Linked DNA regions of Schizosaccharomyces pombe. Changing the gene in region 1 together with any one later gene gives a genetic interaction. Each region holds a gene or a part of one and is shown on either strand. Other genes may lie near its edges.

The links.
Region 2: mutations in pho8 (region 1) and ftm6 together harm fitness more than expected from each alone (negative genetic interaction), as found in Schizosaccharomyces pombe (one large-scale study listed by BioGRID).

The regions. Positions count from the first base shown.
Region 1 is NC_003423.3:4,182,739-4,186,677, reverse strand, and holds the start of pho8 (alkaline phosphatase), read left to right. Parts: upstream 1-2,059; 5' UTR 2,060-2,153; coding exon 2,154-2,358; exon of another isoform or gene 2,359-2,492; coding exon 2,493-3,886; 3' UTR 3,887-3,939. Other genes in the region: SPOM_SPBC3F6.01C (serine/threonine protein phosphatase), read left to right, coding at 1-1,205.
Region 2 is NC_003423.3:8,423-11,933, forward strand, and holds ftm6 (transmembrane helix domain-containing protein), read left to right. Parts: upstream 1-2,146; coding exon 2,147-2,587; 3' UTR 2,588-2,929; downstream 2,930-3,511. Other genes in the region: ftm5 (transmembrane helix domain-containing protein), read left to right, coding at 1-592.

The DNA.
Region 1 (3,939 bases):
CAAAGGCATATTTTCGTCGAGCTACTGCTCATATTGCTATTTTTCAACCCAAAGAGGCTGTCGGTGACTTCCGAAAGGCATTGGCACTAGCACCCAGTGATCCAGCTGCTCGTAAAAAGCTTCGTGAATGTGAGCAATTGGTCAAAAGGATTCGTTTTCAGGAGGCTATTCATAATACTGAACCTCCTTCACCACTTGCGAATATCAACATTGAAGACATGGACATTCCTTCTGACTATGATGGTGTAATATTAGAAAAGCAAATAACGAAAGAGTTTGTTGAAGACATGAAGGAACGCTTTTGCCAAGGTAAAAAACTCCCCCTAAAATTTGCATATAGCATATTGCGAGACTTAAAAGAATTACTTGAAAAAACTCCTTCTTTAATTGACATTCCTGTTAAAGGGGATGAGACATTGGTTATCTGCGGTGACACCCATGGCCAGTATTTTGACTTGTTAAACATTTTCAAACTTCATGGTCCTCCAAGCCCTACTAACAAATATTTATTCAATGGTGACTTTGTCGATCGTGGTTCGTGGTCCACTGAAGTCGCTTTTACTCTTTATGCATATAAGTTATTATATCCGGACGCTGTTTTCATCAATCGCGGTAATCACGAAACTGACGATATGAACAAAGTCTACGGATTCGAAGGTGAATGTCGTAGTAAGTATAATGAGAGGACATTTAATATTTTCTCGGAAACTTTTTCTCTGCTACCTCTTGGTTCCCTAATTTCCGATTCTTATCTTGTTGTACATGGTGGCCTATTTTCTGATGATAACGTAACATTAGACCAACTACGAAACATTGATAGATTTAGTAAAAAGCAACCTGGACAATCTGGGTTAATGATGGAAATGCTTTGGACCGATCCACAACCTGCTCCAGGACGAGGACCATCGAAACGTGGGGTGGGTTTACAATTCGGCCCTGATGTTTCAAAACGTTTTTGCGAGGCTAATGGTCTTAAAGCAGTGATCCGTTCTCATGAAGTCAGAGATCAAGGCTACGAAGTTGAGCACGATGGTTATTGTATTACTGTGTTTAGTGCTCCTAATTATTGTGATAGTACCGGAAATCTTGGTGCCGTAATTAAAGTTAAGGAAGACATGGAGTTGGATTTCCACCAATTTGAAGCCGTTCCCCATCCTAACATTCGCCCAATGGCATATGCCAATGGACTGCTAAGTGGTATGTGATGGGAGACTGCAAGCACTGTTCTCAGTGTTTGCACCCACATTTTTTTAATTTTCTGGTTTTTGAAAAAATTTGTTCCACAGCTATATGATCCAGTTAAATTATTTTTTGAAGACTTGGTTGTTTGGGTTTTTATGAAGTTACCGTCGTTCAAAAAAATAATGCTATTTGTATGTTTAATCTTTAGCTTAAGGATTGGTTTCGATACCTGGATGGTTAGGAATTCCCAAATGTTAATTCCTGATTAGCTACTCTTTATTCCAAAAGTTCCATTTCACGTTCTTTGTACAATAAAAATATAAATAATGTTTAAGTTCATATGAACAATGAAGTAAATAAAACAATTGATCCTTTAATATCGCACTGATTTAAAATGCTGTCTTCTTATTATTATTACCCTCAAAATTCACTGCCATCATAAGTCATCAATGTGTCTTCTACTTTAAACACTGTACTTTATTTTCAAGTAACAGTTCAGTCCTTTACTTGTTTGTTTATTTTCTGTTCACAACTCATTTGCTTATATATATTTTTTTTCGTTAATGACAAGATCTCAATAATAGTCGAAAGGTAATTGCATCGAATTTTGGATATACGGGATTTTCATGTCAGCAGCTGATTCTAATATTTTCAACAGCTACTTGCATTTGACAGTAGATATTACATGTATATATAGACAGTTTTACCATCACGCTATTTCTTGTGGACTTGGTGAATTGCCATTCTCGATTAACTTGTGCATATACTATCCGATATCAGATTTAAGATAGCGAGGATCGACATGGAGAGTTAATACTTTAAACCATGACGTCATGCAATGTATGGTTGAGCTGTTTCAACACCAAAAATTTGTACTATCCATCAACAAGTCATACGCGTTGAAACGATCTTTACCCTTTGACATCCCTTCTTTTAGAGATATTCAATTTTTACCGTTTAAATAGTTTTCAATGGCATCTGAGCGCGATCCTCTTCTGCCAGTGCATGGCGAGGGTCCGGAGAGCCCTTCTCGTAGAAATTGGAAAACTTGGATAAAACATGGAATTCTGTTAATCCTTGTTTTATCAACCGTTATATTTTTTTATTTTTTCTCGTCTCATAAGTCCAAAGGGACCAATGAGAAACCAAAATTTGTTATTATGATGGTTTCTGACGGTAAGTGATTGGAGTAAGCTCTCTCATAAATCCGTTGCTCTTTTGAAGGAAAATGATTTTTTTTATATTTAGAGCACTGGGACGGAATCTTCCTTTTTTTTACAATATTTCTCGGTGACTGACTTTTTTTAAAGGAATGGGACCTGGCTCTTTGTCTATGACTAGATCGTTTGTAGAGACTCTAAACGATAAAGAGGGTTATAGGCTTCCCTTGGATGAGCATTTAATTGGCAGTTCACGGACACGTTCCAGTTCGAGTTTGATTACGGATAGTGCAGCCGGAGCAACCGCATTTTCTTGTGCTAATAAAACCTACAACGGAGCTGTTGGTGTTTTGGATAATGAAAAACCTTGTGGAACTATCTTAGAGGCTGCTAAAGAAGCCGGTTACTTAACCGGAATTGTTGTCACAAGCAGAGTTACCGACGCTACACCTGCCTCTTTCTCTGCTCATGCCGCGAATCGATTCATGCAAGATTTAATTGCTGAGTACCAAGTCGGGATGGGACCTTTGGGAAGGAGTGTTGACTTATTGTTCGGTGGTGGACTTTGTTCATTCTTACCTAAATCTACTTATCGATCATGTAGATCCGATAACTTGGATCTTTTGAAATATGCTAGGAAAAAAGAAGGTTTCCAAATTTTGCTTAATAGAACTGACTTTGATGAGCTATCAAACGCTCAATTGCCTTTGCTTGGTTTGTTTTCTGATTATCATCTCAGTTATGATATTGATTATCAGCCTGAAGTGCAACCTAAGCTTTCTGAAATGGTAGAGACGGCTTTGGATGTTTTGCTCAACGCCACTAATGAAGATACATCTAAAGGATTTTTTTTGCTCATAGAAGGGAGTAGAATTGACATGGCCTCTCACAACAATGACCCTATCGCTCATGTTTACGAAGTTATGGAATACAACAGGGCCTTTGAAATAGCAAGTGCATTTGTAGAAAAGAATGGAGGATCTTTAATCTCTACATCGGATCATGAAACTGGTGGTTTGACTGTTGGTCGCCAGGTCTCCAAAAAATATCCAGAGTATTTATGGAAGCCGCAAGTCCTATCTCTTGCTCTCCATTCTATTGAATATCTCGCTTCAGCTATCGTGAACCATAACCAAAATACGTTGCTTCCTTATATTGAACAGTTTGTTTTACCCGCAATTGGCATTCCTGACCCTAATCCAAAGCAGATTCATGACATATACGTGGCCCGGCATAATATATTTAATCTTATAAACGTGCTTAGTGATATTGTTAGTGTAGAAGCACAAATTGGCTGGACCACTCACGGCCATACTGCTGTCGATGTAAACGTTTATGGAGTAGGAGAGGTCACTGAACATCTTCGAGGAAATATGGAGAACATTGAAATTGGACAGTTTATGGAGATATACTTAAATGTTTCACTAAGCGATGTAACTGAAAAGCTCAAAGATGCTCCCATACATGGTGCCCCAGATCGACCTAGTTTAGTGGAAACTTCATTTTCCGATCGTCTTGTAGGTTTCGGTGCTGATTTGTTTTAAAGCCTTTTAATCAAGATTGCCATAAATATATAATTTAGAATACTCTCATATAT
Region 2 (3,511 bases), 4.2 Mb from region 1:
CATTGAGGAGTATGTTTTTTCTTCCGAATGTATAAAATACAGACAATTTTATTCGGTGTATGAAATAATTGATTTTCTTCGGACAAATTTTTATCGATTATTTGTGATTTACTGTGCATTGGGTTTCGGCATAACTAGAACTGTTCCTAAATATCTTATGATAAAAGGAATTAGTATTGTCATTGCTTTATGTTCTGTATACTGGATTTCTTTATATAAAGACGTATATGTAGTATCAGAGATTTTTGACATGATCCAGTATGAGGTATCTCCTGCAATTTGGGTGTATTCTATTTGTCATTTATTGAAACAATGCACGTCTGTAACAACTTACGAAAATGCTTCAAAAGCCAGATTTTTTAGAAGAATGCTAAATGCATTTATCTTTATATTCTGTGCATCTCCAATGTTGCATTACCTGTCGAATATTATATTTGGAAACTTTGATTACAGACTGTCGGTGATCATTGGTGATCTTTTCACTTTTATGGAGAAAATTGCTTTTCCATGTTACATAATGTTTCCCACCCATAATGAAGCACTTGCCTACAATCGAAATGTAGCTGAAGAGGCTCAAGAGAAAATGATTTGACAAAAACCATGGTTTACTTGATTCACCTTTAAAGGGGTTACCGGGATTATTTTATTTATTATTTGTTTATCAATGGATTAATATCCAGTTATTTTAATCTCACTTTTTTACACAGAAATTGTGTAGTAAGTTCATTCTTATTTAATATACCACCTATTTATTTTTTACAAATGAATATTTTTTTACTGGAACGTTTTAAATACACATAACCTTTGAGTCGATGTGAAATAATGTTTTGTTCAAACTTAAAAGTTGCGAATCTGACATATAGACAAAAAAAAAATAAAAAGAAAAAACTGGTTACCTTCATAAACATATTTTGCTAATTTATTGAATTTAATTATTTTCAACTTGCTTTCCCATTTTCCCAACAATTTTTTTATCTATAATATATATTTTACAAAATTAATATAGTACATCGCATGGTTTTCTTTAAAACGACATAAACGTATAATAATAAACGGGGATTCAAAGTAATAAATCGAATCCAAATCAACTTTCAAATACATCCATTTCATCTACTTTACCCTTATATTCCCCTTCATATCCCCAACAAAAAACAGGAATTTGCGAAAGTAGTAAATGGTAAAAGTGAATAAATAGAATCAAGGTTAAAAGCTTACTTGTATGCATAAGAAGATAACTCCCTCCTCTTTACTTTTGCTTAAAAACAGATTCTGAGATTCGGGACTAGCATCGGTAATATAAGTTTTTCTTTCATACTGTTGAGTACTAGCATCAGAACCCTTAATGGTAGGAAGATCATCATCATGACTACGCCTTTGTTCAATCGAGTAAACATTTGCTGGTTCGTGCCAGTCACACTGAGAACAACAAAGTACCTATTATTAAAAATGTTAGCAAGCGATCGCTAACAAGTTGAAAAGTAAACACCTCCAACTATTCCATGGAAAGCATGTAACAATGAAGATCAATGAATGGCTATTAGCTTAACAAACTTGTAAACTCAAAACAGACTAACAACGTTTGTCAGGCACTAAGAGCAATAATGGAACAGACTTCATATCAAACGCTTTCTTGAATGTTCTTACCTTATTCGTATAAACCGGAAGAACAGGCACAATGAGAACCGTTACGGTTTTCAACTGACGACATACTCGGACTAAAAACAAAATGTTATGTTAACATTAATAAGACAAGTTTAAAAAAAAAAAGAAAGAGCCAATTGCTTTCGAAACTACTCAACTTGTTTATTTCTCGTACCAGTCTTCTTTGAACTAAAAAAAAAAAAAAAGCATTAGCAAAATGTGTTGTCAAACGGATAAAAAGAGAACAGGAAGAAGATTGCTGGAAACAATTTTAAAACAGCGAATAAAAAAAAAAGAAAAAATAATAATAATAATAAACAAAATACGAGTCGCTAATTTTTGAAACTAATCGCTTCCAACAACTGTTTCATTATAACTTCACCATTTTAATATTGTCCCCAAACAGCATGATTTAATTCTCTTTCACTAATTTCATACCACACAGGACACGTAAGTAAAACATCCTTATAATCGTCAGTGGATATCCACATATCTCGTAAATGTAATGGCATTGTTAAAAAAAATAAACACTCAAGTGAATAGAATTATGAAGAATTCGAGTCTAGTTCAAAATATTTGTTTTGACAGAGTCCCTCTATTTATACCAAGACTAAGCCTCACAGTGAAATATTGTCTAGCAGTAAAATTGCTGATTTATTTATTATATTGTTGGTACATTTACTCGGAAGTACCATCGGCTTCATCTAAATTCCGATCCTTTACATTTGGATGCGTCGTAGTATATCATAACAAATTTTTTCCTCGTTTCATTAGAACTCACTCCATTAACTCCATTAGAACGTTTTCTAAATTTCAAGTCATTATACTTTTCTCTATTGAGAAAGTCACTAGGTCAGAAAGCAAGAATCATTCTTACTCGAAAACCGATATTAGTGATCTGCACCAGGGCTATAATAATCCACCATCAAGATTCATATCACAATAACAATTCCATAGTATCTTGCTATATACGTGTAATGAGTATTCGATACTGGCTTGATTGCTATTTCTCCTTTGCTTGTAATCGTAAAATTGACTTGAAGATCTAAACCTTCTAATGCAATCATTGGAATTCTGCCTAACCTGATCAAATATGGCTTGATCACCGTTAAGTTAAAAGCAGAAGCTATGCCAATCAGTATGATTGTAACTTACAAAAAAATATAGCACAACGACATACAACATTATGGTACAATAAAGAAGACTTGATATATCAAGAACGAGGTTCAGTTTGTGCTCCGTTTATATTATTGTATTTCTATATATGACATTACTTGATGCAACCGCTTAAATATGTACTTTTGTGTAGTTATACTCGCAAGTACAGTAGCATTTTTAAAGTAGCGGTGATGTTGACGAATGGTTTGTTTCAAATCCATCCATTTCAATTTCAATTGTAAATTTCTCTTTTTCAATTATTAATCAAGTAAGTTGAAGTGTATCAGCACAATAAATTCTGACTATTACTACTCTTAAAATAAAACTCAAGCGAAACTAATTTTTAATAGCAAGTCATATTCTTAGTTTGATATGCTATCCGCTTTGGTTTTGCATTGTTATGACTTTGTATAACCTAATAAGGTGACGAAAAATCAGTTCGTTTATATTTTTGATGAGAAGAATTCACTATTATTACACAGAAAAACATTTACTTCTTATTAGATACCTTCAATATAATATATTTTTTAAATGTAATAGCGACGACACTACCCATAATTTACAATACATTGTATGGTAAACAACTGAGTAGTTGATACACCCGATTTTCATTGAGTCATACACTTTGCGCTTACTATCACTTTATTTGATTAAATGCATAATTTACAAGCCATTCCAATATTTCGCGCACTTTTCGGACATAGTAATAAAA